Linked DNA regions of Anolis sagrei. The main gene of each other region encodes a partner of the protein of the gene in region 3 in a complex. Links are inferred from orthologs where the notes say so. Each region holds a gene or a part of one and is shown on either strand. Other genes may lie near its edges.

The links.
Region 1: EXOSC9 (region 3) and EXOSC3 share a complex: the UniProt entries of both Homo sapiens proteins name them as parts of the RNA exosome core complex. The link is inferred for Anolis sagrei from reciprocal best matches to the Homo sapiens genes EXOSC9 and EXOSC3.
Region 2: EXOSC9 (region 3) and EXOSC6 share a complex: the UniProt entries of both Homo sapiens proteins name them as parts of the RNA exosome core complex. The link is inferred for Anolis sagrei from reciprocal best matches to the Homo sapiens genes EXOSC9 and EXOSC6.
Region 4: EXOSC9 (region 3) and EXOSC4 share a complex: the UniProt entries of both Homo sapiens proteins name them as parts of the RNA exosome core complex. The link is inferred for Anolis sagrei from reciprocal best matches to the Homo sapiens genes EXOSC9 and EXOSC4.

The regions. Positions count from the first base shown.
Region 1 is NC_090023.1:155,253,685-155,260,892, reverse strand, and holds the start of EXOSC3 (exosome complex component RRP40), read right to left. Parts: upstream 3,002-7,208; 5' UTR 2,958-3,001; coding exon 2,688-2,957; intron 1-2,687. UniProt on the Homo sapiens protein: Non-catalytic component of the RNA exosome complex which has 3'->5' exoribonuclease activity and participates in a multitude of cellular RNA processing and degradation events.
Region 2 is NC_090028.1:43,418,877-43,426,067, reverse strand, and holds the start of EXOSC6 (exosome complex component MTR3), read left to right. Parts: upstream 1-4,256; 5' UTR 4,257-4,310; coding exon 4,311-5,171; 3' UTR 5,172-5,188; intron 5,189-7,191. Other genes in the region: AARS1 (alanine--tRNA ligase, cytoplasmic), read left to right, coding at 1-120. UniProt on the Homo sapiens protein: Non-catalytic component of the RNA exosome complex which has 3'->5' exoribonuclease activity and participates in a multitude of cellular RNA processing and degradation events.
Region 3 is NC_090025.1:36,466,861-36,474,834, forward strand, and holds the start of EXOSC9 (exosome complex component RRP45), read left to right. Parts: upstream 1-4,963; 5' UTR 4,964-5,040; coding exon 5,041-5,106; intron 5,107-6,613; coding exon 6,614-6,708; intron 6,709-7,451; coding exon 7,452-7,571; intron 7,572-7,675; coding exon 7,676-7,778; intron 7,779-7,974. UniProt on the Homo sapiens protein: Non-catalytic component of the RNA exosome complex which has 3'->5' exoribonuclease activity and participates in a multitude of cellular RNA processing and degradation events.
Region 4 is NC_090024.1:2,002,341-2,009,897, forward strand, and holds the start of EXOSC4 (exosome complex component RRP41), read left to right. Parts: upstream 1-4,540; 5' UTR 4,541-4,542; coding exon 4,543-4,716; intron 4,717-6,806; coding exon 6,807-7,013; intron 7,014-7,557. UniProt on the Homo sapiens protein: Non-catalytic component of the RNA exosome complex which has 3'->5' exoribonuclease activity and participates in a multitude of cellular RNA processing and degradation events.

The DNA.
Region 1 (7,208 bases), on a different chromosome or scaffold from region 3:
ACAACCAAAGTATCCCTGACAGATGGTCACCCAGCCTGTTTAAAAGCTTTCAAGGAAGGAGCTTCCACCACAATCCAAGGCAGAGAGTTCCACTGCTGAACAGCTTGTAAGGGCAGGGTTGTAAATTCTTCCTAATGTTCAGGTGGGATCTCCATTCCTGTAATTGAACCCTTTATTCTGAATCCTAGTTTCCAGGGCAGCAGAAAACATGCCTGCTCCCTCTTCCTTATGGCATCCTTTCATATATTTATACATAGTGATCATGTCTCCTCTCAACCTTCTCTTCTGTAAGCAAAACATGCTCAGTACTTTAAGACGCTCCTTATAGGCCTGGTCTCCAGAATTTTGATCATTTTAGATGTCCTCCTCTGGACACCTTCCAGTTTGTCATTATCTCTTTTGAACAGTATTCCAGGTGAGGGCTGACCATAGCAGAACACAAAGGCTTCCCTTGATCTAGACACTATACACCTTTTTGATGCAGTCCAAAATCCCATTGGTTTTTGTAGCTGTTTCACCACACTGCTGGCTCATGTTCAACTGGTTGTCCATGAAGACTCCAAGATCATTCTCACATGGACTGTTGTCAAGCCAGGCATCCCCCATCCTGTCATCTGTGGATTTCTGCTTAAATGTAGTATCTTACATTTGTTCTTGTCAAAATTCTTTTTGTTAGTTTTGGCCAATCTGCGCTCTAATCTGTTGAATCATTTTGGATTCTGATCCTGTCACTGGAGCATTAGCTATCTCTTCTAATTTGGTTTCATCCGCAAATTTGATAAGCATGCCCTCTAAACTTTCATCCAAGTCATTAATAAAAATATTGAACAGTACTGGGCCCCGGACAGAACCCTGTGGCACCCCACTAGTCACTTCTTTCCAGGATGAAGAGGAACCATTGGTGAGCCATCTTCACAGGTGCAACTTGTGGGGTTGAAAGAGAGGGACTTTTCTGTAGTGGCCCCTTGACTCTGGAACTCACTCCCCAAAGATATTAGGAACCCCTCCCCCATTGGCAGTCTTTAGGAGCTTGAAAACTTGCTTGTTCCAATGTGCCTTCCCTGAATGAAAGATGAATAATTCCCTGATCTGACCAATTCTCTGCAAAATATCCTCTGTAGCACTTTATTCTACCTGTTGGGGCAATCACCCCTACCCTACCCTCTAAAACACCTGTTCAGACTAATTTCACTGTTGTCACATCCAGTGTTTAAAATTTTTAATCTAGTTGAATTGGCCCTGTCCAGTGTTGGATCCTTGTGTTTTTAAATGTTGTTTTATTGCTGATATGTTATTTATAATGGTTTTGTATTGTATTGTATTTTTTGTTTTATTTTATTGCTGTGTTGGTTTATACTGATGTGATGTATTGTCGGGCTTGGCCTCATGTAAGCTGTCCCGAGTCCCCTTGGGAAGATGGTGGCGGGGTATAAATAAAGTTTTATTATAATAATTATTATTTTGTTCATTCAGTTGTTTCCGACACTTCGTGACTTCATAAACCAGCCCATGCCAGAGCTCCTTGTCGGCCGTCACCACCCCAGCTGCTTCAAGGTCAATCCAGTCACTTCAAGGATACCATCCATCCATCTTGCCCTTGATTGGCCCCTCTTCCCTTTTCCTTCCATTTTCCCCAGCATAATTGACTTTCCTTTCTTCACATGATGTGGCCAAAGCTTTCCTTTCTTCACATGATGTGGCCAAAGTACTTCATCTTGGCCTCTACTATCTTTCCCTCCAATGAGCAGTCAGGCTTTATTTCTTGAAGTATGGACTGGTTGGATCTTCTCACTGTCCAAGGCACTCTCAGAACTTTCCTCCAGCACCAGAGTTTGTCATTGCTCTCCTCCCAAGAAGTAAGCGTCTCCTGATTCCCTGGCTGCAGTCTGCGTCTGCAACCAGGGAATCATCTTTGCACCTAGAAATACGAAGTTTGTCACTGCCTTCATGTTTTCTCCCTCTATTTCCCAGTTGTCAATCATTCTTGTTGCTATAATATTGGTTTTTTTGATGTTTAGCTGCAACTCAGCTTTTGTGCTTTCTTCTTTCACCTTGATTAGAAGACTCCTCAGCTCCTCCTCGCTTTTGGCCATCAAAGTGGTGTCATCTGCATATCTAAGGTTGTTAATGTTTCTTCCAGCAATTTTCACCCCAGCCTTGTACTCCTCAAGCCCCACACATCACATGATGTGTTCTGCATACAAGTTGAATAGGTTGGGGGAGAGTATACAACCCTGTCATACGCCTTTCCCAATCTTGAACCAGTCTGTTGTTCCATGGTCAGTTCTTACTGCTGCGACTTTGTCCTTATACAGATTCCTCAGGAGAGAGACAGGGTGGCTTGGCATCCCCATACCACCAGGAACTCGCCACAATTTAGTATGATTCACACAGTCAAAGGCTTTAGAATAGTCAATAAAACAGAAATAGATGTTTTTCTGAAACTCCCTGCCTTATTATTATTTAGTACCAATTATAGATCCACCTCATTGTAGCATTGCTTAGGCCACATATGATTAATTTGTTTGCAAACTATATAACCTACAGCACTTGGTATAACGTTATATATAAACAAAATCCTTCTGTCAGTTTACTTGAGCAACTCTTAGACAGCGCTCCACTCCCATAGGGTACATATAAGAAGTGCTCAAGCGCGCATGCGCAGTCTGGCCCTCGCGCTTCCTTACCCGCCTCTGCTGAGAGTCTACCCAATAAACGCCTCCAGAGCCACTTCCGGGGCCGCGGTAGCGTAGTAGGCCGCATTTCGTAACCAGCAGGCCTTCTCCACCGCGCCTCAGGCCCGGCCCGCACACCAGCTTCCCCTTCTGAGGCCCGTTGGCCGACAGGCGTAGCCGCTCGCTGTCCGCCTCTGCGTGGCCCGGCAGGAGCAGCGCCTCCCCCGGCAGCACTACTCGCCCGACCCGCTCCTGGGCCTCGCAGGCGCCGACGTCCGCCATGACTGCGCGAGCGGCCGTTGAGGTCTCGCGGGATCCGTTTGCGCATGCGTAGCTCAGAACCCTCTGTCTCCACTGGTCTCCTTGGAACTGGCGACGTTCACAAAGAGCGACGGACAAAAGTTTGGAATGCTGGCAGTTGGAGGCCTCCGTTTGTCGTTGGCTGCAGCCAGGCCTTTTGACAAGGAGTACCAGGCGTCCCTTTTCCGAGACTCTCTTGCCTTGTAATCTGAATACACAGCAGATTCCCAAACTCTGCACCTCCAGGTGTTTTGGACTTCAATTCCTAGAAGCCTCAGCTGCCTTGGCCAATGATCAGGGATTATGGGAACTGAAGTCCCAACCTGGAAGGCCAGTTTCTGGAACACTAGGTTTGTTAGGTTCTTGTAGGTTTTTTCGGGCTATAGGGCCATGTTCTAGAGGCATTTCTCCTGACGTTTCGCCTGCATCTATGGCAAGCATCCTCAGAGGTAGTGAGGTCTGTTGGAAATAGGACAATGGGTTTATATATCTGTGGAATGGCTGGGGTGGGGCAAAGAGCTCTCTGCTGAAGCTAGGTGTGAATGTTTCAGCTGACCACCTTCATTAGCATTTGAAGGCCTGGCTGAGCCTGGGGAAATGTTCTGTTGAGAGGTGTTAAGATGTGCCTGGTTGTTTCCTCTCTGCTGTTTTGTTGTTGTAATTTTAGAGTTTTTTTTAATACTGGTAGCCAGATTTTGTTCATTTTCATGGTCTCCTTTCTGTTGAAATTGTCCACATGCTTGTGGATTTCAATGGCTTCTCTGTGTAGTCTGACATGGTGGTTGTTGGAGTGGTCCAGCATTTCTGTGTTCTCATTTCTGTGTTGTCAGACTACATAGAGAAATGCCTCTAGAACATGGCCCTATAGCCCGAAAAAACCTACAAGAACCTAGTGATTCCAGCCATGAAAGCCTTCGACAATACTAGGTTTGTTATTCACGAAATATTTCATTTTAAATGTTTGTGGAAGTCTGCAACTATGGTTTTAAAAAATCACTCCAGTTTTGAGTTGGATCAACTGTGCTATTTATATTTATTTATTTAGGTAAAGGTAAAGGTAGTCCCCTGACATTAAGTCCAGTCATGTCTGACTCTGGGGTGTGGTGCTCATCTCCATTTCTAAGCCAAAGAGCCAGCGTTGTCCATAGGCACCTCCAAGGTCATGTGGCCGGCATGCCTGCATGGAGCGCCGTTACCTTCCCGCCGGAGCGGTACCTATTGATCTACTCACATTTGCATGTTTTCGAACTGCTAGGTTGGCAGAAGCTAGGGTTGACAGCGGAAGCTCACGCCGCTCCCCGGAATTGAACCTGCGACCTTTCGAACAACAAGCTCAGCAGCTCAGTGCTTTAACCCACTGTGCCACCGGGGGCCTCCATTTATTTATTTATTTACTTTATTTGTATACCGCCCCTCTCAGCCTTGCGGTGACAAGGCAATGCCACAGAGTACAAATACAATTTAAGACATTAACGTCAATAAAATCATAACAACAACAATACAAAAGTAAATCAGTAAATCCTCAATAAAAACATTGTCCAATTACATCGTATAGTTGTTCCGTTTTCCTATGTCCATTACTCAATATTTGCAAATGCTTTTATCCCACTTTTCTCCCGTGGGTGGGATTCAAAGCAACGTACAGTGTTAAAAACCAATAAAAAATTACAAACAAAAAATTCAACAGAAACATAAACTAAATAAACAAATCGCACATTTCATAACCCATATAAAACAAATTAATAATTTACAACATTTATTTATTTATTTTATTTCCAACATTTCTACCCTGCCCTTCTCAACCCCCAAGGGGGTGCTCAGAGTGGCTTACGCTAGCAACACTGGCAACAATTCAATGCCATGACATGCAGAGAGATACAACAAATATAGCAACAATTTAAAAACAATAAAAAGCGTAAGTTAAAACAATTTAAAATGTTATTATTGAACCACATAGCCACTTCCAATCCAGTTCTACATCCAAAGTGTTATCATGCCTATCCAAAGACCTGGTGCCAGAAATATGATTTCAGTTTCTTCCTAATAAAAGAAAGGAGAGACGAGGCCGACCTTATCTCACTGGGGAGCGAGTTCCACAGATGATGGGTCACCACCAAGAAGGCCCTGTCCCTTGTCCCTGCCAAACGCTTTTGCAAAGCTGACGGGGCTGAGAGCAGGGCCTTCCCAAATGATCTCAAACTATGAGGTGGAATGTAGAGGGAGATACATTCCGACAAGTAAGCTGGGCCGGAACTGTATAGGGCTTAATAGGCCAAGACCAGCACTTTGAATTGTGCTCGGAAATGGACTGGTGGCCAATGGAGCTGACACAGCAGGGCGGGGTGGTGGTGGTATGCTCCCTGTATGACGCTCCGGTGAGTAATGGACTAGCTGGAGTTTCCGAACAGTCTTCAAAGGCAATCCTACATAGAGTGTGTTGCAGTAATCTACTTGGGATATAACCAGAGCATGGAACACTGTGGCCAGATCAGACTTCCCAAGTATACTAACATATACCATTAAAATTCCCTAAACCTCCGGCCACTGAGGATATCTTAGTTGTGCTAAGATCCTAGAAACTCCCTTTTCTTTAGACAGTATAAAAACATTGCTTAGTCCTTTTTGGCCTAACCCCTATGATGTTTGTTTTGCTGCCTGTTCAGGAGATGTCGCCTCTCTGTCTCTGATAATTGGATTTTGAACAAAAATTGGCTTGTTGTGGACACAAAGATTGGTGAGAAAGCCTCAGTGGAGACACCTTTACTCTATGATCACTGTTCCAGGAGTGATGTTTTCTTCCAAGAGGTTGATTTCTCTCACTACCTGTTGTCTCACTCCCAGCCTTAACTATTTATAACTGAGTTATTTGTAAGTTGAATGCATGTAATTCAGGGATTGTCTGTACAGTGTGATTCCTCTTATCGACGGATTCAGTGCCCACAATCTCAACCCCTCAGAAGTGTTTGTGAATCTGTCTAAGTCCTCCAGCACAATCTTAACTACATCAGTGGTCCATGGACCACCAGTGGTTCCAAAGAACAAAAATATGATCCATGGCATCACCGTTAATACACCATTGCAACAAGAGTGACTGGCCTCACACAACCCTCTTATAGTGCCGAGGCAACGGGGATGTCAGGGGCAAATATGGGAAACATAAGCTTTGTATAAAACATCACAGTGTTTTATTTACTAAGCCCAAATATAAAAGTTGATTGAACACATTCTTGTGTGACTTCTCATATAGAATTTCTCCTCAGCATCTCACAATGAATGTGTGAAATAGAACAAAAAGACATGAAGTGTCAGGTTTCCCCAATTGGTTGCTGAATCTCTTCCTATACTGTCTTCCTTTTTGGTATGGAACATCAACCAAGGCAATTTTGCTTGTTTTTCTCTATCTGGCAAAGGCATAGAACTAGTTAACACGTATTTGGAAAGTCACGATAAATCTTTTTATATTTGTCTTGGGAACTAGAACAGTTTGGTTCATACTGTTTTGTGCCAAAGTACATACCTGCTCACTATTTTAAAAGATGTTTGACAGTGAACCTGGTAGCCAAAATCAGAGAAGTTGATACAACGGCGCATTCTACTACTAGCCCATCTTGATGCGCTCTACTTGACTGTCAGTGGCTCTCTAAAAGTGTCTGACCAAGCTTTCATCCCACCAACTGGACAGCCTTGGTATCTTTTCCTTTTCTCTCCTGCTTTTGCAGATGAGAGAACCTCTTCTTCCAAGAAAGTTGATCGACCTACACATCATCCCATTATTGAAGTAACACCTTTATTGCCATTAGTAGAAATTGGGCATTTCAGCATATGTAATACATACAACTGCCATGTGTAGATGGCTCATTTTTACAATGTACATAAACTATTTCCTGTCAAACATTTTTACAGTTTTTTGTAAACACGAATGTTTAACTTACACTGTTTTCATTTAGCTGGAATGAGATAAGCAAAGGGCAAGAGTATTTTGCTCTTGGCTTATTAAGCAGTGGTGACACCATCTGGCTGACAGTAGAAACACACAAAAAACTCAATCGACAAGAGTTTTGTGTAAGTTATAATTTCCCCTAAGTTGATAAAGCCTCTGCTTGTTTGATGGTTTGAGTGCTGAACTATGACACTGGGGGACTACAATGTCAATCCTTCCTCAGCCACAGAAGCCAACTAGGTGATTTTGGGAAAGTCATATTATCTCGGCCTCAGAGGAAGAAAAAGGCAAAT
Region 2 (7,191 bases), on a different chromosome or scaffold from region 3:
AAGGGGGGCGGGAAGGACCTCTCGGCTCAGGCGACCGGGAAGAACACTGACTGCCTGAAGGAGGTCCTGGAGGTGGCCACGGACTTTGCCAAGCTGAAACTGGGCGAGCTGAAGAACTGACCCCCCCCCCCCTTCAGGGAAGAGATCCAGGCAAGGAAGCCCTTGTCTGCTCCGCCAGTAGGTTAACAGCTTAGTGATAACTGGAAACAACGTTACGTGCATTGTTGTCCTTCTCAGCTCATCCGCTCAGGCACTAACCAAGCCAGGCGGCCGTGCCAGGAAATGCCCTGAGCACAGAACGTGGGAGCCTGTGGCGGCACAAGTTCGAATCGAAATGTGGTAAAAATCTCCTTGCACATACAAGTCACATACTTCCTGACGCTCTAAACTTGAATGTCTTTGTACAGTTTGCAATAAGACATGGCCCACGAATTCTCTGTCCGTGCTCAAGCGCTTGGGGCGTTTTGCATGCGCGGGGCCAAGGCTCAACACTTCGGTCATTTCATCCCTTATCTCTGTAACTGTGAAAGCCCCTCCTTCATTCATAGTATTAACCTCTGTTGTAGCCAAGCCCAAGCCAGGCGTGTTCTGGCACGAGGAGCTGTGCTTCACCAGGTTCCATGCTGAATAAACAGATGTCTATTTAAGTGAGTGTCTTGCTGTAGAAACAAAAGCAATGGGCACATGGGCACATTACATATAACCATGCTGCAGTGTGATATGCTCAAGCCTACAACCCACAAAAACCTACAACAACCCAGTGATTCCGGCCATGAAAGCCTTCTCAACAAAAGTTTGCCCCAGCCACAGTCATTTCCTTTCCTTTCTGCACAGCCAAGAAGAGTAGTTTGCATGTGTTGCTATTTTTAATTGCAACTTGATGTGTCAACAATGGCACGTTGTGCTTAAGAATGGCTTCTCACAACCTCTGAGGATGCTTGCCATAGATGCAGGCGAAACATCAGGAGAGAATGCCTCTAGAACAGTGTTTCTCAACCTGGGGGTCGGGACCCCCATGGGGGTCATGAGGGGTCGCCAAAGACCATGAGAAAACATAGTATTTTCTGTTGGTCATGGGGGTTCTGTGGAAAGTTTGGTCCAATTCTATTGGTGGGGTTCAGAATGCTATTTTATTGCGGGTGAACTATAAATCACAACAATTACAACTCCTATTTTCTCCAAACTCCAGCAGTATTCACATTTGGGCATATTGAGTATTTGTGCCAAGTTTGATCCAGATCCATCATTGCTTGAGTCCACAGTGTTCTCCGGATGTAGGTGAACTACAACTCCAAAAAACTCAAGGTCAATGTCCACCAGACCTTCCCAGTATTTTCTCTTGGTCATGGGAATTCTGTGTGCCCAGTTTGATTCAATTCCATCACTGGTGGAGTTCAGAAGGCTCTTTGATTTTAGGTGAACTATAAATCCCAGCAACTCCACCATTACCAAATGACAAAATCAATCACCCCCCAACCCCACCAATATTCAAATTTGGGGATATCAGGTATTTGTGCCAAATTTGGTTCAGTGACTGAAAATACATCCTGCATATCAGATATTTAGATTACCATTCATAACAGTAGCAAAATTACAGTTGTGAAGTAGCAACGAAAATATTATGGTTGGGGGTCACCAGAACATGAGGACCTGTATTAAGGGGTCGCGGCATTAGGAAGGTTGAGAACCACTGCTCTAGAACATATAATAATAATAACACTTTATTTATACCCCGCTACCATCTCCCCAGGGGACTCGGTGCGGCTTACATGAGGCCGAGCCCAAAATACAACAATACAAGCAATAACAACAACAATACAAGCAGTTTAAAACAGCAAAACAATAACATAAGCATTATCAAATAGGACAACACACTTTAAAAACTATGGCTGGGCCAAATGTGCCCAGGGGGAGTCTCTCATTGGGTATCAGCCATTGGTTGAGGTTCTGGGTTTGAGCCTGCCACTTTTGGACTCTCGCTTGCTGAGGTGTTCCAGCGAGTGTCTCTGTAGATCTTAGAAAACTATTTCGTAATTTAAGGCGTTGACGTGCTGGCTGATACCCAAACAGGGGATGAGCTGGAGATGTCACTTCCTTGGTCCTTTCACTATTGGCTGCCACTTCCCGGCGGATGTCAGGTGGTGCAATACCGGCTAAGCAGTGTAATTTCTCCAGTGGTGAGGGGCGCAGATACCCCATGATAATGTGACATGTCTCATTAAGAGCCACATCCACTGTTTTAGTATGGTGAGATGTGTTCCACACTGGACATGCATACTCAGCAGCAGAGGAGCACAGCGCAAGGCAGATGTCTTCAGTGATCTAATTTTGCTGGGGAGTGAATTCCACAGGCGGGGGCCACTACTGATAAGGCTCTGTCCCTCGTCCCCACCAGCTTTGTTTGTGACGTTGGTGGGACCGAGAGCAGGGCCTCTTAAACTATCAGGGTTTGAGCCTGCCACTTTTGGGGTCTCGTTTGCTGAGGTGTTCCAGCGAGTGTCTCTATAGATATTAGAAAACTATTTCTTGCTTTAAGTCGTTGGCATGCTGGCTGATACTCAAACGGGGTGAGCTGGAGATGTCACTGCCTTGGTCATTTCACTATTGGTTGCTGCCACTCCTTGAACTCACTCTCTCTCCTAGTGTCTAGATCCAGGGAAGTCATGCTCCCCATGCTCTATTCCGCTTTGGTTAGACCACTTTACCTGGAATATTGTGTCCAATTCTGGGCACCACAATTCAAGAGAGATATTGACAAGCTGGAATGTGTCCAGAGGAGGGCGACTAAAATGATCAAGGGTCTGGAGAACAAGCCCTATGAGGAGCGGCTTAGGGAACTGGGCATGTTTAGCCTGAAGAAGAGAAGGCTGAGAGGGGATATGATAGCCATGTATAAGGAAGCCACAGGGAGGAGGAGGGAGCAAGCTTGTTTTCTGCTTCCCTGGAGACTAGGACACGAAACAATGGCTTCAAACTCCAAGAGAGGAGATTCCATCTGAACATGAGGAAGAACTTTCTGACTGTGAGAGCCGTTCAGCAGTGGAACTCACTGCCCCGGAGTGTGGTGGAGGCTCCTTCCTTGGAAGCTTTTAAACAGAGGCTGGATGGCCATCTGTCGGGGGTGCTTAAATGCATTTTTCCTGCTTCTTGGCAGAATGGGGTTGGACTGGATGATGATGGCCCAGGAGGTCTCTTCCAATTCTAGGATTCTATGAATTGTATGTCTATTCTCAATGGCAGGTGTGGGCAAACTTGGGCCCTCCAGGTGTTTTGGACTTCAACTCCCACAATTCCTAACAGCCTACCGGCTGTTAGGAATTGTGGGAGTTGAAGTCCAAAACACCTGGAGTCCAAGTTTGCCCATGCTTGCTCAATGGGTTTCTTCTGACAAGAGATCAATAAAGAGGAGCAGCCTGCTCCTCCTCCTCCAGGCCAGCAGGGGGCAAGAGAGAGAGAGCGCTCAGAGGAGAGAGTGCTCCTCTGAGTAGCGTGCTCCTCCTCCAGGCCAGCAGGGGGCGCGAGAGAGAGAGGGAGCGAGGGCGCAGGCGCAGCTTCCTTTTCCGCTTCCCCTTGTGAGAATGGGTTTCTTCTGACCAGAGATCAATAAAGAGGAACAGCCTGCTCCTCCTCCTCCAGGCCAGCAGGGGGCGCGAGACAGAGAGAGAGGGAGCCTGGGCGCAGGCGCAGTGGGAGCCGCTTCCTCTTCCGCTTCCCCGAGAGAGCGCTCAGAGGAGAGAGAGTGCTCCTCTGAGCAGCCTGCTCCTCCTCCTCCTGGCCAGCAGGGGGCGAGAGAGAGAGAGAGAGGGCGCAGGAGCAGTGTGCGCCGCTTCCTGTTCCGCTTCCCCTTGTGAGAATGAGCTTCTTCTGACCAGAGATCAATAAAGAGGAGCAGCCTGCTTCTTCTCCTCCAGGCCAGCAGGGGGCGCGAGATAGAGAGAGAGCGCTCAGAGGAGAGAGTGCTCCTCTGAGCAGCCTGCTCCTTCTCCTCCAGGCCAGCAGGGGGCGAGAGAGAGAGAGAGGGCGCAGTGGGCGCCGCTTCCTCTTCCGCTTCCCCTTGTGAGAATGGGTTTCTTCTGAGCAGAGATCAATAGAGGAACAGCCTGCTTCTCCTCCTCCAGGCCAGCAGGGGGCGAGAGAGAGAGAGAGCGCGCTCAGAGGAGAGTGGTCCTTTGAGCAGCCTGCTCCTCCTCCTCCAGGCCAGCAGGGGGCGCGAGACAGAGAGAGAGAGGGAGCGATTACGCAGGCGCAGTGGGCGCCGCTTCTCCTTCCGCTTCCTGTTGTGAGGCTGCGACGGTGAGGGGAGTGTTGCCATGCCGCTGGACCACCGCCGCGTGCCGGGCCCGGAGGAGTCTCAGTCCTCGCTGCTCTTCGTGGCCGAGGGGGCGGAGGAGGCGGAGAAGAAGCCTGAAAAGCCGGGGCGGGACCCTTCCGCGCTGCAGGCGGTGTTCGCGCGGGCGGCGGTGCTGAGCCAGGCCAAGGGCTCGGCCTTCGTGGAGCTGTCTGGCGGGACGAAGGTGCTGTGCGGCGTGTACGGGCCCCGAGAGGCCCCCGCAGGAGGAGGAGGAGCGGGGAGCGAGTCGGGGGGCCGGCTGGTGTGCGAGTTCCGGCGCGCGCCCTTCTCTTCCCGCGGGCCCCGTCGTCGGTGGTCATCGGAGCGCGACCCGTGCCTGGCGCAGGCGCTGACGGAGTCCCTCTCGGCCGCCGCCCGCCTCTCCCGCTACCCGCGCGCCCAGCTGGAGGTCAGCGCGCTGGTGCTGCAGGACGGGGGCTCCGTGCTGGCCGCCGCCCTCTGCGCCTCCGGGCTCGCCCTGGCCCACGCCGGCGTCGAGCTCTTCGACCTGCCCGCCGCCTGCGCCCTCGCCCTCGCCCCCGGAACAGCAGGGGGAGAGTGGCTGCTCCAGCCCGACGAGGCCGAGACCCGCCGCGCCCGCGCCCACCTCACCGTGGCCCTCCTGCCCTCCCTCAACCAAGTGGCCGGCCTCCTGGGCAGCGGGGAAGGCGGCCCCCCGGACAGCTGGGCACGGGCCCTGCGCCTCGGACTCGACGGATGCCACCGCCTCTACCCGCTCCTCAGGAAGAGCCTCCTCCGCGCCCTCACGCCCAAGGGGGACCCCCCGCCCCCCCACAAGACCCCAGAGGAAGAGGAAGGGGCGCCCCACCCCATCACATGAGACCCAGCCCCACTCAGGTATGGACAGCCTCAGGCCCTGCCCACTTAGTCTGGAATTAATATATAATCTGGGACTAGGGACTGCGGGGAAGGGGCCTGAGATACTCTGGCATCCAACTGCCAGCATTCTGCCTCTACATCAGGTTTGGGTAAACTTTGGCCTTCCTTCCAGGTGTTTTGGACTCCAACTCCCACCATCCCTAACAGCCTCAGGCCCATTCTGCCTCTAGATCAGGTTTAGGCCAACTCTGGCCCTCCCTCTGGGTGTTTTGGACTCCAACTCCCACCATCCCCAACAGCCTCAGGCCCATTCTGCCTCTAGATCAGGTTTAGGCCAACTCTGGCCCTCCCTCTGGGTGTTTTGGACTCCAACTCCCACCATCCCCAACAGCCTCAGGCCCATTCTGCCTCTAGATCAGGTTTAGGCCAACTCTGGCCCTCCCTCTGGGTGTTTTGGACTCCAACTCCCACCATCCCCAACAGCCTCAGGCCCATTCTGCCTCTACATCAGGTTTAGGCCAACTCTGGCCCTCCCTCTGGGTGTTTTGGACTCCAACTCCCACCATCCCCAACAGCCTCAGGCCCATTCTGCCTCTAGATCAGGTTTAGGCCAACTCTGGCCCTCCCTCTGGGTGTTTTGGACTCCAACTCCCACCATCCCCAACAGCCTCAGGCCCATTCTGCCTCTAGATCAGGTTTAGGCCAACTCTGGCCCTCCCTCTGGGTGTTTTGGACTCCAACTCCCACCATCCTCAACAGCCTCAGGCCCATTCTGCCTCTAGATCAGATTTGGGTAAACTTAGGCCTTCCTTCCAGGTGTTTTGGACTCCAACTCCCACCATCCCCAACAGCCTCAGGCCCATTCTGCCTCTACATCAGGTTTAGGCCAACTCTGGCCCTCCCTCTGGGTGTTTTGGACTCCAACTCCCACCATCCCCAACAGCCTCAGGCCCATTCTGCCTCTACATCAGGTTTAGGCCAACTCTGGCCCTCCCTCTGGGTGTTTTGGACTCCAACTCCCACCATCCCCAACAGCCTCAGGCCCATTCTGCCTCTACATCAGGTTTAGGCCAACTCTGGCCCTCCCTCTGGGTGTTTTGGACTCCAACTCCCACCATCCCCAACAGCCTCAGGCCCATTCTGCCTCTACATCAGGTTTAGGCCAACTCTGGCCCTCCCTCTGGGTGTTTTGGACTCCAACTCCCACCATCCCCAACAGCCTCAGGCCCATTCTGCCTCTAGATCAGGTTTAGGCCAACTCTGGCCCTCCCTCTGGGTGTTTTGGACTCCAACTCCCACCATCCCCAACAGCCTCAGGCCCATTCTGCCTCTACATCAGGTTTGGGTAAACTTAGGCCTTCCTTCCAGGTGTTTTGGACTCCAACTCCCACCATCCCCAACAGCCTCAGGCCCATTCTGCCTCTAGATCAGGTTTAGGCCAACTCTGGCCCTCCCTCTGGGTGTTTTGGACTCCAACTCCCACCATCCCCAACAGCCTCAGGCCCATTCTGCCTCTAGATCAGGTTTAGGCCAACTCTGGCCCTCCCTCTGGGTGTTTTGGACTCCAACTCCCACCATCCCCAACAGCCTCAGGCCCATTCTGCCTCTAGATCAGATTTGGGTAAACTTAGGCCTTCCTTCCAGGTGTTTTGGACTCCAACTCCCACCATCCCCAACAGCCTCAGGCCCATTCTGCCTCTACATCAGGTTTAGGCCAACTCTGGCCCTCCCTCTGGGTGTTTTGGACTCCAACTCCCACCATCCCCAACAGCCTCAGGCCCATTCTGCCTCTACATCAGGTTTAGGCCAACTCTGGCCCTCCCTCTGGGTGTTTTGGACTCCAACTCCCACCATCCCCAACAGCCTCAGGCCCATTCTGCCTCTACATCAGGTTTAGGCCAACTCTGGCCCTCCCTCTGGGTGTTTTGGACTCCAACTCCCACCATCCCCAACAGCCTCAGGCCCATTCTGCCTCTAGATCAGGTTTAGGCCAACTCTGGCCCTCCCTCTGGGTGTTTTGG
Region 3 (7,974 bases):
TTCATAACGAAAAGTTAACGGGTACGTCATAAAAGCAATGAAGTTATCCCTTCAAAAGTCATCATTACAATGTAAAGCCATCACTCTTCATTGATTGGGTAAAGGCATTATAGATATAGTAATAATTGTAATCACAAATAAGTATCTTTTATTTCTCTTTCACAGAAATGCACATCTCTGAATTCTAGATAGAATAGACTATTGTTTTTATGTTCAATTATGTTCAATGGCTAACATGAGGCTACATGTTATTACAGTTTCTGTACAATGGTACATAAATCTTCTGTCTTTCCCCTCTGTACAGTATTCCAACATGGATTCCATTACAACAACCTTGCCTTGCTTAAATCACATACTGAACACATCCAGAGTACACCAGACTTATCCTGTATGTGGAGCGTGATTAATTCAAAATGCTATTTCATATAGTCTTTATTTATTTACTTTATTTGTATACCACTGTTCTCAGCCCTTAGGCGACACTTAGTCTTTACATTTGTACTCACAATGAAAACATAAACAACCCCTAACATGGGAGTAAGGACTCATCATGGATTAACAGACTGGTTCAGGATTGGGAAAGGTGTATGGCAGGGTTGTATATGCTCACCCAACCTATTCAATTTGTATACAGAACACATCATGCAATGTGCGGGGCTGGGGTTAAAATTGCTGGAAGAAACATTAACAACCTTAGATATGCAGATGATACTACTTTGATGGTCAAAAGCGAGGAGGAGATGAGGAACTTTCTAACTAAGGTGAGAGAAGGAAGTGCAAAAGCTGGGTTGCTGTTAAACATACCCCCCCCCCCCCCCCCAAGATTCTGGCAACCGGACTGATTGATAACTGGCAAATAGAGGGAGAAAACATGGAGGCAGTGACAAACTTTGTATTTCTAGGTGCAAATCAGAAGATGTTTACTTCTTGGGAGGAGAGCAATGACCAATCTCAATAAAATAGCGAAGAGTAAAGACATCACACTGGCAACGAAGATCTGCATAATTAAAGCAATGGTATTCCCCGTAGTAATCGACGAATGTGAGAGCTGGACCATAAGGATGGCTGAGGGAAGGAAGATAGATGCTTTTTAACTGTGGTGTTGGAGGAAAATTCTGAGAATGCCTTGGACCACAAGAAGATCAAACTAGTCCATATTTCAGGAAATAAAGCCTGACTGCTCATTGGAGGGAAGGATATTAGAAGCAAAGAAGTACTTTGGCCACATCATGAGAAGACAGGAAAGCTTAGAGAAGACAATGATGCTGGGGGGAAAGGAAGGAAAAAGGAAGAGGGGCTGACCAAGGGCAAGATGGATGGATGGTATCCTTGAAGTGACTGGCTTGACTCTGAAGGAGCTGGGGGTGGTGACGGCCGACAGGGAGCTCTGGCGTGGACTAGTCCATGAGGTCATGACGAGTTGGAAGCGACTGAACAAATAAACAACAACAAACATGGGAGTTAAAATGTTTAAAACAAAGCCATTATTTTGATTACTAGGTGTTCAAAAACATGTTGTTCTTTGTACAGAAATAAATCAATTATGGACATCTCACTACAAGATCAAAGGGCCCTTCCACACAGCCATAAATCCCAGTCATCAAGGCAGAAAATCCCACAGTATCTGCTTTGAACTGGGTTATCCGAGTCCACATGGCCATAAATTCCAGGTCAAAGCAGAAAATGTGGGATTTTATTCAGCTGTGTGGAAAGGGCCCACAACTCATTTAGGTGGCTGTTTCTTAATTGTCGTGAATTTCAACTTCCTTTATTGGTATTTTGGAAACTTGGCAACACTAAAATAGGCAACCCTATAAATGTTTTTGGACTGGGTTGCTGTAAGTTTTTCAGGTTGTATGGCCATGTTCCAGAAGCATTCTTTCCTGACATGTCGCCTGCATCTATGGCAAGCATTCTCAGAGATTGTGAGGTCTGCTCCTTCCTCAGTCTTTGCCAGCCAAACCAATGGGGAGGGATGATGGGAGCTGCAGCCTAAGAATATTTAGGTCACACTCTGATTTTGTCTATGGGATCTCTCTCAAGTAACACTGCCGAAAGACTATGTAGCTGTGCAGCTATGTATATATTAAATAAACAAGCGAGAAGAGTCAGCTTCATCCTTTCCATTCATAAGGTATATACAGTGAGTGATTATTGTGCAAAATGTAGCCTCTGAGATTTAGAGAGCAGACAGAAATTCATTAACATGTCAATCAGAGTTAAAGCACAATCCGTTTACGACTAAACACCGTGAGATGTTCTCTCTCTGATTTCCAAAGGGAACGGGATGCAATCATAGATGAATAGTAAACTTGGTGAGAAAGGCAACTCAACATCCTTGGATTACCATATTAAATAAATGTTTAAATGCCTCAAAAAGTGGACTTTGATGGGTTTAGTGCAGGCTTTTCAGAAAATGCAAACAGATTTGCCAAATGCAGCCCTAGAAGCTATTTGAATGATACAGACTTTTCTGAGAATGAAATAGTAAGGACTATTTAGAATCTTTTTTTTTTTGCCCCACCTTTTAATTTTATATCATATTTGCAAGTTACCTCCTTGCATTACAGTAATAAAAAGGACCACGCCTGCAGGGCCTCAGGCCTAAGCAAGAAGTGAAGGTACCATCACCAGGGGCTTTGAGGGAAGGGGCAGTGTTTGTTTCCCTTGCTGCCTTTGGCTCAGCTTCTCACTCAGCCTCTGGGGACCATTTGGTCCTACTGGACTCTGTCTTGACTGGCTTGCATTTCAGCATCCATGGGTCTGCACAGAGATACCGACATTTGTTTCTTCTAGCTGTAGCCCTTGATTCAGCTGGACCCCCTCTCAAGTGAACACTGCCACCCCGGTTTGGAGTCTCATTCCTCCCCTGATGGAACACCTGCTCCATTAAAACCATGTTTTAATCTGTCTTATTGCATTTATATGTTTTGTTTTATAATTTAATATGTTATATTTATTATTTGTTGTATAATGTGGCATTGAATTTTGCCATAATCTGTAAGCCGCTCCGAGTCCCCTTTGGGGCTGAGAAGAGCAGGGTATAAATATAGTAAATAAACAAGAAATGGACAGAAAAGGCAGTTCAATACATAGTAGCATTAGGTCGTAATTAATGTATTTACAAATTTAGCACCAGAACATTGCAATGTATTGAAGCAGCAGTGGATCCTGGCGGGAGGCAGACTGCGTTGTATAATACAGAACACTGGATGAGTGAAGGTTGGATAAGTGAGACTCTGTTGTATTATATTCTTAGCATTGCACAATATAAGTATTCAATATTACTATATTGTACTATACCACTATACTGCAATATTATTAGTAGCTTTACATGTAATATATCATTATTATATTATTATATTTACAATATTAGTATATCACAATATATTTAACACACTACCAGAATATTATACTACTAGTAGTATATAATATACAGGGTTAGTCAAAATGAATAGGCCAATAAGAAAATTAATTGTATGTATGTTTGGCCTATTCATTTTGACTAACCCTGTATTGTACTATATGATAAGTTGTAATAATAATAATAAACCTTTATTTATACCTGGCTAACATCTCCCGAAGGACTTGGTGCGGCTTACAAGAGGCCGAGGCCCAACACATTAATAAAACAACAGCATAACAAATACAACAATAAATAAACTCATAAAACAAGCAATAAACATTAAAACAATAGCAATAAACATTAGACAATAACACCATGACGCATTTAAAACTAAGGCCGGGCCAAATGTAATGATTAAAAATTTTAAAAAATGTTGGACATGGCAGGTGAAATGAATAGGTTTTTGGAGATTGGTGCGGTGTGCAGACTATCTTAAATGTCTAGTAAAGTGCATTTGGGACATTAGCTGTCCCCTGCCATGTGTTGCTGTGGCCCAGTCTGTCTGTATATGCTTTGTGTGTATATATATGTATATACACACATATATATATGTGTGTGTTTGCGTATATATATGTGGTTTTGCCCCCGGTGGCACAGTGGGTTAAAGCACTGAGCTGCTGAGCTTGTTGACTAAAAGGTTGCAGGTTCGATTCCGGGGAGCGGCGCGAGCTTCTGCTGTCAGCCCTAACTTCTGCCAACCTAGCAATTTGAAAACATGCAAATGTGAGTAGATCAATAGGTACCGCTCCGGCGGGAAGGTAACGGCGTTCGATGCAGTTGTGCCGGCCACATGACCTTGGAGGTGTCTATGGACAACGCTAGCTCTTCGGCTTAGAAATAGAGATGAGCACCACACCCCAGAGTCAGACATGACTGAGCTTAATGTCAGGAGAAAACTTTTACCTTTACCTATCTAATGTCAGGGGACAACCTTTACCTTAACCTATGTAGTTTTGCACATGCGTTGTAATGTTTTTCGGATGGTTTTTTTAGCTTTTTAAGTCCCTTCTGCTGTGTTTTTTATGAGTGATGGACACTTGTTGAACTGATAGGTGTATTGTGTCCAGATTTGGTGTCAATTTGTCCAGTGGTTTTTGAGTTACGTTAATCCTACAAACAAACATTACATAATATAATCAAACACATAGAAGCATAAAATTAGAAAGGATACAACAGGCCTGGGCAAACTTGGGCCTTCCAGGTGTTTTGGACTTCAATTCCCACCATTCCTAACAGCCTCAGGCCCCTTCCTGAGGCCAAGTTTGCACAGGCCTGGGGTGCAATATAGCAGCAGCAACACAAAGATGGCCTGTTCATTACATGTAGCAGTAATAAGTTTCAGTTTAGTAGTAATGATTGGCACCAAGCAATAGTTGACAGTGACAGTGATGCCAAAGTCTCTCTCCCTTGAATTCCAAGTTCACCAAAGATAGAACATAGGCAAGAATAGGAGAGATCCTTCCTCCTCCCCCTCCCCTCCCCGATGACGTAACGTTCCTTCCTATTGGCCGAGGAAGCTATGCTTTGGAAGCGACGCTTTTAAAGTGCGCCCGCTCTATGACGTCATCAGAGCGGAACCCGGAAAAGAGCAGCGCGGCCTCAAATCAAGGCGGCAGTAACACTCCGGCCTTGCGATGAAGGAAACGCCGTTGTCCAACTGCGAGAAGCGCTTCCTGCTGAAAGCCATCGAGGAGCGGAAGGTGCGTTAGCGAGAGAGAGAAGAAGAGATTGTAGTCATGGGTCTGATGGATCTGCACTGTAGAGTTAATGCGGTTTCATGCCACTTTGGCTCAATCCCGGGAGTTGTAGTTTGGTGAGACGACAGCACAATTGAGCAGACGAGGCTAAAGGGCTTGTAAAACGACGGCTCTCCGGATTAATGGCCTCAAACTGTGTTAATTCTGCAGTGTAGATGCATCTCCAGCCACATATTAGGAAACTGAAATGTCGAAGCAAGGTTTGAGGACAAAAGAGATCAACCTGATTCTGTACTTTTCAGGAGTCAGTATTAAAATCCACTCTCCAGCCCTGAATGCTAGAAGTCATTCCAGGGGAATTCCAGACAATAAACAATCAGGGCCGGCTAATCAACCTCCCAACAAAGGATTCCCCCCAGGCAGGAAGCAGCCAAGCCTTGAAGCTGCAAGGCTATTCAGTGCTAAGCAAGGTGATCAATTGCAGCATTCATACTTGCCTCAAACAGACAAGAGTTCTTTCTCCCGCCCTGGACATTCCACAGAGATATAAACTCTGGTTTTCAACAGACCCCTCAACCTCTGAGGATGTCTGCCATAGTTGTGGGTGAAATGTCAGGAGAGAATGCTTCTTGAACATGGGCATACAGCTTCCCTGACAACCAATTAATTTTGAACTCTGCATTTCAAGTTTGCATTCTATTGATATATTTAATTGTTATATTAATGTATTTTGGTAAATGTGTTTTGGCTGTTTTATACCCCCACCTTGAGTTGTGAGGAGAGATGGGCAACAAATGAATTATTATTATTATTATTATTATTGTTAACTTCACTGATGCGACACTCTGGTCTTCTTTATACTAAATATTATAGAATTTTGATACCTCTTTAGCTGCCATGGTGCCTTCCTGTGGAATCTTTCGGTTTGCATTTAGGGAAGGGTTCTTTGAATTCTCTGCTAGAGAGCTTTATTTACTTATTTATTTATTTACAGTATTTGTATACTGTTTTTCTTACCCCAAGGGGGACTCAAAGTGGTTTACTGTACCAAAGTACCCAAATTCTGTAGGATCCGTTTTTGGAAGTTAAAGTAGTATCAAAGTACACTAACTGTGTAGTGTGAAAGACACCCAGTGTGTCAGATTCATCTATAATCTTCTTTCCTGCTTTGTAGGATTTCAGTGTTATTAATTGCTGCTCTAGAGGGGAAAGTCAGCCCCTGAAGATGAGTTATGGAAATGCCGAAATAAGGAAAATAATTACCTCTGTACCATATAAGTGGATTTAGGCATGCAAACTCTTCACAGTTGGCAAACCTAGAGTTCAGGACTGTAAGAGTGGGTTTCACTGTGTACATATAATTTAGTGTTTTGAATGTGATTTTCCTGCTTCTTGGCCAGGGGTTGGACTGGATAGCCCATGAATTCTCATTCAATGCTATGATTCTAGTTGACTTTTTCCACAGTCCCATATTTCACATCTGTAATTTTAGCTTGTTTTGTCTTTACAGCGTCTTGATGGACGAGAGTGCTATGACTACAGAAATCTTCGCATCTCCTTTGGCTCTGACTATGGCTGCTGTATTGTGGAGCTTGGAAAAACGAGGTACCTCAGAATAGGGGATATGGCCATCACTTATTGATTGCTCCTACCTTGTTGCACATGTGGCTATCTGCCTTCAGTTGATGCCTTCGTTTGTCCTTAACTGAGACAAATGACCAAGTTACTGTCTTGATAACTACAATGTGGAAATGAAAAGTGTACATGAAAGGATTATGTGCAAAGGACCATAACTTACTAAGAGCACAAAATTTGCATGATGAAGTTTTCAGCATTTTTAGGTAACAAAACCTCTGCCTGGAACCTGGAGAATGCAGACAACACTGACGGACTTAGAACATCTGACTCAGGCCCCTTCCATATAGCTGAATAAAATCCCACATTGTCGAATATATGGCAGTGTGGTCTCAGATAATCCAGCTCAAAGCAGATATTGTGGGATTTTCTACCTTGATATTTTGGGTTATATGGCTGTGTAGAAGGGCCCTGTATTTATACTCCACCTTTCTTCCAGAGTAAGATCCAAAACAGCTTCCAAAAACAGTGTTAAAACACGTATCACAAAATGGTAAACATTCAGTGTTCCACATCTGCATTTTCTATTACTATACAGGGAATCATATGCATAATATCATTGTATGTCTTCTGGCAATTAATTGTATCAAGTTAATGTCAACTCTGAATAAGACAATGTGAATTTTAGAACGCCTTGTTATTTTAAACATGTAAGCAATCAGTTGAAATTTTACTCTTAAAGTTCGCCTATGTGGTGGCTTTTCTCTTTGTAGGATTCTTGGACAAGTGTCCTGTGAGCTTGTCACCCCAAAGCCAAATCGTGCGACGGAGGGCATACTTTTCTTTAATCTTGAACTCTCTCCTATGGCATCACCTGCATTTGAGCCTGGAAGGTATGTGACCCTACTTCTCCCTAGTAATAACATTCAGTGCTTCCTCAAGAAATGTTTTGTCTTTCTTAATTATTTGTAACTAAAGGTTTATTTTTTAATTCTAGACAGCCTGAGTTACTTGTAAAACTGAATCGACTGTTAGAAAGATGCCTAAGGAATTCGAAGTGTATAGATACTGAATCTCTCTGTGTTGTTGCTGGTGAAAAGGTGTGTAGTAGCATTAATTATAAAAATATATTTTAATAACTCTAAAAATTAAGTTATTTGACTTAACCATATTGCTTGTTTCCATTTGAATCCATGTGGAATTCGGAGACATATCTATCATCCCCTTTGATTAAATGGGTCTCTTTTTTCTTCCATCTTTGTATTTTTTATCGATAAAATAAAGATGGTTGAAAAT
Region 4 (7,557 bases), on a different chromosome or scaffold from region 3:
CCTCAAAAGGAATCCTAAAAGGAAGGAAAAGGAGGAGAAAGGAGGAGAAGCTGGAGAAGGAAGGAAGGGAAGGGAAGGAAGCCTCGAAAGGAGAAGGAGAAGCTGGAGAAGGAAGGAAGGGAAGGAAGCCTCAAAAGGAATCCTAAAAGGAAGGAGAAAGAGGAGGAAGGAAGCCTCAAAAGGAAGCCCAAAAGGAAGGAGAAGGGCAAGGAGAAGGAGGAGAAGGAAGGGAGAGAGAAAGAGAGAAAGGAAGGAGGAGCTGGATCCCCCGCCCTCCAACCCCCAAGTGCCAAGTTCTAACTGAACGGCTGCCTGTGCGCGCGCTTGGCTTCAGGAGGAAAGGAAAAAGGAGGGGGGGACTTCACTTGGAAAGGGATTTCTCTTTGGGGAAATGGAGTTGGGGTCTGATTTTTGGGGGGATTAAAGGTCATCTCTTGGGCCACCTTTGGGCCAAATTTGGGCGGGGAAAGCCGTCGGGGAGGGCGACGGGGTTGGTGCGTAAAAGTCGCCTTTGGCGACTTTTACGCACCAACCCCGTCGCCCTCCCCGACGGCTTTCCCCGAAACGGATGGGACAACAAAGGCTTTCAAAGGGGTCTCTCGGCTCCCCTAACCATTGGGGAGAATGACCTCAAGGTGGGGGTCGCAATCAGCCCCCTCCCTTTGCAGAAACGCCTTCCATTTGAGGCACCAAACATTTTACGCACCAACATTTTACGCACCAAGTTTTGTGCGCTTTTCCCAAACTTTGCGCCCTTAGAATTTGGGATAATTTGGGGTCAATCATAAGGGGGTGTCTTTTTTGCACCCCTAACTTTTTGGGGAAAGTGGGTGGACCCCCTCCCCCCCAAATTAAGACCACTACTTTGCATGCCAACCTTTGCATTTGGCGCAAAATCATTTGCGACTTTTTACGCACGAATAACTAGCCTTTCTCCCCAATTGGAGGAGCAAAAAAGGGGGTGATAACGGGGGTCTCCTGGCACCCCTAACTTATGGGAAAGTGGGGGGGGGGGATAGGTTGGCCCCCTGTCGTTGCTTAGGCGCCATTGCGGGTGTTTTGGAGTGGGCTTGGCTGCTCTCCTTGCCTTTCATTGGAGGAGACGTGTTGACACACAAGCTCTTGCCTCCTCCTCTTGCTTTTGAAGATGAGAGGTGACTTAGGACTCTATCACTTCCAGAATTCTGGGGTTTGTAGTTTAGTGAGACTGTTAAAGTTCAATGTATTGTCGAAGGCTTTCATGGCTGGAATCACTAGGTTCTTGTGGGTTTTTTCGGGCTATAGAGCCATGTTCTAGAGGCATTTCTCCTGACGTTTCGCCTGCATCTATGGCAAGCATCCTCAGAGGTAGTGAGGTCTGTTGGAATTAGGACAATGGGTTTATATATCTGTGGAATGGCTGGGGTGGGGCAAAGAGCTCTTCTCTGCTGGAGCTAGGTGTGAATGTTTCAACTGACCACCTTCATTAGCATTTGAAGGCCTGGCTGAGCCTGGGGGAATCTTTCGTTGAGAGGTGTTAACATGTGCCTGGTTGTTTCCTCTCTGCTGTTTTGCTGTTGTAATTTTAGAGTTTTTTTTAATACTGGTAGCCAGATTTTGTTCATTTTCATGGTCTCCTCCTTTCCGTTGAAATTGTCCACATGCTTCTTGTGGATTTCAGTGGCTTCTCTGTGTAGTCTGACATGGTGGTTGTTGGAGTGGTCCAGCATTTCTGTGTTCTCACATAATATGCTGTGTCCAGGCTGGTTCATCAGGGGCTCTGTTTAAGTTGTTGTTCATTCTTTCAGTCATTTCTGACTCTTCATAGGGCTTGCTCTTCAGACCCTTGATCATTTTAGGGAGAGTAAAATGATCGAGGGTCTGGAGAACAAGCCCTACGAGGAGCGGCTTAAGGAGCTGGGCATGTTTAGCCTGAAGAAGAGAAGGCTGAGAGGGGATATGATAGCCATCTATAAATATGTGAGAGGAAGCCACAGGGAGGAGGGAGCAAGCTTCCTTTCTGCTTCCCTGGAGACTAGGACGCAAGGGAACACTGGCTTCAAACTACAAGAGAGGAGATTCCACCTGAACATGAGGAAGAACTTCCTGACTGTGAGAGCCGTTCAGCCGTGGAACTCTCTGCCCCGGAGTGTGGTGGAGGCTCCTTCGTTGGAAGCTTTTAAACAGAGGCTGGATGGCCATCTGTCAGGAGTGATTTGAATGCAGGCATGTAGCCGGGGGGGGGGGGGAGGGCTTGGGGGGCTTGGACCCCTCCCGAAATTCTCATGGTGGTTCACGAAAAGGCCTTCCTGGTGCATTATTTAAACTGTTATGTTTATTCATATCATGATCTGATCACCCTACGCAATATATCCCATATGCATGGGGGTATTGGGGTAACAATACAAAAGGTTTGCTAGGGTAGACCTGCTTTCACTCAGACTCAGCCCCCCCCCCCCCCCCGAAACAAACTCAGCCCCCCCCCCCCCCGAATCGAAATCCTGGTTACGGGCCTGTTTGAATGATGCATCCCGTTTAGATTACTGCAACGCTCTCTACGTGGGGTTGCCTCTGAAGACTGCCCAGAAGCTTCTATTAGTCCAATGTGCGGCAATCAGACTACTAATGGGAGCGGGGTACAGGGAGCATACTACTCCTCTGTTGCGCCAGCTCCACTGGCTGCCAGTCAGCTTCCGAGCACAATTCAAAGTGCTGGTCTTAACCTATAAAGCCCTAAACGACTCCGGCCCAATTTACCTGTCCGAACAGGTAACAGGTATCCTTCCCTATGAACCATCAAGATTGCTAAGATTGTCTGGAGGGGCCCTGCTCTCAATCCCACCGGCCTCACAGGCGCGGCTGGTGGGGACGAGAGACAGGGCCTTCTCGGTGGTGGCCCCTCGACTCTGGAACTCAGAAGAGATCAGAACTGCCCCTTCGATCTTAACGTTCAGGAAACAGGTGAAAACCTGGCTTTGGGGATTGGCATTCGACGAATGAGCCATGACCCTGTGATATGGATGGATGACGACGAATAATGATTTTTGATGACGACTGACCACTGTAATCACATGACTGTATTTTTGCTATTTTAATGTTTTAGTGTGATTTAGAATATGATGTTGTAATGACTGTCTGTAATATTGATGTTGGAAAGCGGTCTGGGTCCCTCGAACGGAGGTGAGAAGACCAATATACAGAACTGCTCAATAAATAATTAAAATAATAAGAATAATTCAGAAGTTGTAATGTTTACAAAGAAGGAAACATCGCTATGGCGCCCCCTCTCGCTACAGGCGCGCCACTGCAGGCCTTGGCTCCTCCCCTTCCTCCTCATTGGCTGTCTTTATGTCCCCGCCCCTTTGCTTCCCCCGCCATTCCTCGTCTCCCTCTCGCTAGAAGCTCCTCCTCCTTATTGGCTCAGTCGCAGAAAAGGGGCGTGGTTATCGTTGCGACCCCGCCCCCTTAATGCTCCTTCCATTTAGGCGCCTCTCTGTGCTCTCTGCTTCAAGCCCCTCCCCTTCTTCCCTATTGGATGGGGAGCAGGGAAGGGGCGTGGTTATCGTTCCGGCCCCGCCCCTTGCTGCTCTCTCCATTCAGGCGCCTTTCTGTGCTCTCTGCTTCAGGCCCCTCCCCTTCTTCCCTATTGGATGGGGAGCAGGGAAGGGGCGTGGTTATCGTTGCGACCCCGCCCCTTGCTGCTCTCTCCATTTGGGCGCCTTTCTGTGCTCTCTGCTTCAGGCCCCTCCCCTTCTTCCCTATTGGATGGGGAGCAGGGAAGGGGCGTGGTTATCCTTAAGTCCCCGCCCCCTAGCTTCACCCGCCAGAGAGGTGCCTTCTCTCTGCTCTCGCTTCAGGCCCCTCCCCTTCTTCCCTATTGGATGGGGAGCAGGAAAGGGGCGTGGTTATCGTTCCGGCCCCGCCCCCTTGCTGCTCCATCCATTCAGGCCCCTCCTCTTCTTCCCTATTGGCCGGGGAGGAGGGAAAAGGGGGCGTGGTTATCCTTCAGGCCCCGCCTCCTTGCTGCTCCCTCGCCATTCAGACGCCTCTCTCTGCTCTAGCTTCAGGCCCCTCCCCTTCCTCCCTATTGGATGGGGAGCAGGGAAGGGGCGTGGTTATCCTTAAGTCCCCGCCCCCTTGCCGCCCCATCCATTCAGGCCCCTCCTCTTCTTCCCTATTGGCTGGGGAGCAGGGAAAGGGGCGTGGTTATCCTTAAGTCCCCGCCCCCTTGCTGATCCCGCCATTCAGGCACTTCTCTCTGCTCTCGCTTCAGGCCCCTCCCCTTCTTCCCTATTGGATGGGGAGCAGGGAAGGGGCGTGGTTATCCTTAAGTCCCCGCCCCCTTGCCGCCCCATCCATTCAGGCCCCTCCTCTTCTTCCCTACTGGCTGGGGAGCAGGGAAAGGGGCGTGGTTATATTTAAGTCCCCGCCCCCTTGCTGATCCCGCCATTCAGGCCCTTCTCTCTGCTCTCTCTTCAGGCCCCTCCCCTTCTTCCCTATTGGTTGTGGAGCAGGGGGTGGGCGTGGCTACCCTTCCTGGTTCCCGCCTTTCTCTTTCCTTGCATGATGGCGGGCCTGGAGCTGCTCTCTGCGCAGGGCTTCCGCGTGGACGGGCGCCGGGCCGGGGAGCTGCGGCAGGTGCGGGCCCGCATGGGGGTCTTCGCCCAGGCAGACGGGTCCGCCTACCTCGAGCAGGGGAACACCAAGGCCCTCGCCGTCGTCTACGGGCCCCACGAGGTAGGAAGGCAGGGGGTGGGTTCCTAGATCTAATCACCTCTCCACAAAAGATTCCCCCAGGCACAGCCAGGCCATCAAATGCTGAGAGGGCTTAGATGGGTTTATAGATCTAATCACCTCTCCACAAAAGATTTCCCCAGGCACAGCCAGGCCATCAAATGCTGAGAGGGCTTAGATGGGTTTATATATCTAATCACCTCTCCACAAAAGATTCCCCCAGGCACAGCCAGGCCATCAAATGCTGAGAGGGCTTAGATGGGTTTATAGATCTAATCACCTCTCCACAAAAGATTTCCCCAGGCACAGCCAGGCCATCAAATGCTGAGAGGGCTTAGATGGGTTTATATATCTAATCACCTCTCCACAAAAGATTTCCCCAGGCACAGCCAGGCCATCAAATGCTGAGAGGGCTTAGATGGGTTTATAGATCTAATCACCTCTCCACAAAAGATTTCCCCAGGCACAGCCAGGCCATCAAATGCTGAGAGGGCTTAGATGGGTTTATATATCTAATCACCTCTCCACAAAAGATTTCCCCAGGCACAGCCAGGCCATCAAATGCTGAGAGGGCTTAGATGGGTTTATAGATCTAATCACCTCTCCACAAAAGATTTCCCCAGGCACAGCCAGGCCATCAAATGCTGAGAGGGCTTAGATGGGTTTATAGATCTAATCACCTCTCCACAAAAGATTTCCCCAGGCACAGCCAGGCCATCAAATGCTGAGAGGGCTTAGATGGGTTTATAGATCTAATCACCTCTCCACAAAAGATTCCCCCAGGCACAGCCAGGCCATCAAATGCTGAGAGGGCTTAGATGGGTTTATAGATCTAATCACCTCTCCACAAAAGATTTCCCCAGGCACAGCCAGGCCATCAAATGCTGAGAGGGCTTAGATGGGTTTATATATCTAATCACCTCTCCACAAAAGATTCCCCCAGGCACAGCCAGGCCATCAAATGCTGAGAGGGCTTAGATGGGTTTATAGATCTAATCACCTCTCCACAAAAGATTCCCCCAGGCACAGCCAGGCCATCAAATGCTGAGAGGGCTTAGATGGGTTTATATATCTAATCACCTCTCCACAAAAGATTCCCCCAGGCACAGCCAGGCCATCAAATGCTGAGAGGGCTTAGATGGGTTTATAGATCTAATCACCTCTCCACAAAAGATTCCCCCAGGCACAGCCAGGCCATCAAATGCTGAGAGGGCTTAGATGGGTTTATATATCTAATCACCTCTCCACAAAAGATTTCCCCGGGCACAGCCAGGTCATCAAATGCTAATCGAGGTGGTCAGTTGAAACGTTCACACCTAGCTCCAGCAGACAAGAGTCCTTTGTCCCACCCTGGTCATTATTCCACAGATGTATAAACCCTAGCTCCAGCAGACAAGAGTCCTTTGTCCCACCCCAGTCATTCTACAGATATATAAACCCTTTTTCCTCGTTCCAACAGACCTCACTACCTCTGAGGATGCTTGCCATAGATGCAGGCGAAACATCAGGAGAGAATGCCTCTAGAACATGGCCATATAGCCCAAAGAAACCTACAACAACCCAGTGATTCCAGCCATGAAAGCCTTCGACAATGACATCTAATCACCTCTCAACAAAAGATTCCCCCAGGCACAGCCAGGCCATCATATGCTGAGAGGGCTTAGATGGGTTTATATATCTAATCACCTCTCAACAAAGGATTCCCCCAGGCACTCCGAGGCCATTATATGCCAATCAAGGTGGTCAGTTGAAACATTCACACCTAGCTCCAGCAGACAAGAGTCCTTTGTCCCACCCTGCTCATTATTCCACATATATATAAACCCTTTTTCCTAGTTCCAACAGACCTCACTACCTCTGAGGATGCTTGCCATAGATGCAGGCGAAATGTCAGGAGAGAATGCCACTAGACCATGGCCTCTGTGCCTGTTCAAAAGATTCCACATCACTTTCAGTTCCTGTGAGAATGGGATTTTGAAACATTTAGTTTATTGTGGAAACAAGGGTGGGAGGTATTTCCTGGGTGAGGAGGGCAGGCTAGATGACCCCCAGAGGCCCCTGGACTACCCCCGTCTCCTTCCTCTTTCCTGCAGACGCGGGGCTCGCGGTCCAAGGCGCTGCACGACCAGGCGGTGGTCAACTGCCAGTTCAGCCTGGCCACCTTCAGCACCGGAGAGCGCAAGCGGCGGCCCCACGGTGACCGGCAGACCTCCGAGATGAGCCTCCACCTCAAGCAGACCTTCGAGGCCGCCATCCTCACCCAGCTCTACCCTCGCTCCCAGATCGACATCTACGTCCAGGTGGGTGACCGGTAGGTTTCCATGCACCCCCTTGGAAACAGTCATCTAGGAGTCTTTGCAGACCCCAAGCAGAACGTGAGCCAAGAGAGTGATGCGGCAGCTCAAAAGGCCAATGCCATTCTAGGCTGCATCAGGAAGAGTTTAAAAATGAAATAGGTATAGAATGGGTGACCCCTGAAGGGACCCCAAAGGCCATCCAGTCCAACCCCTTTCTGCCAGAAAGGAAGACACCATTGGAATATGAAAACAGTATCTAAGAGTCTCAGGAGAAGACAAGCTGAACTTTTTTCTTCTCTTTTGTCATTTACACAATCAAATAAAATTATATTTTTAAAAATCAGTGGAATTCTGTGTTGGAGGCTTTTAAACAGAAGCTGGATGGCCACCTTTCTGGGAGGCTCTGATTGTGCTTTTCCTGCATGGCAGGAGGGGGTTGGAATGCATGGCTTTTGCAGTCTCTTCCAACTCTATCATTATGATTATTTTACCATTTTTCTCCTTCGCATTTGGCCCAGCTCGCCCCTATTTAATTCTTCTATCACTT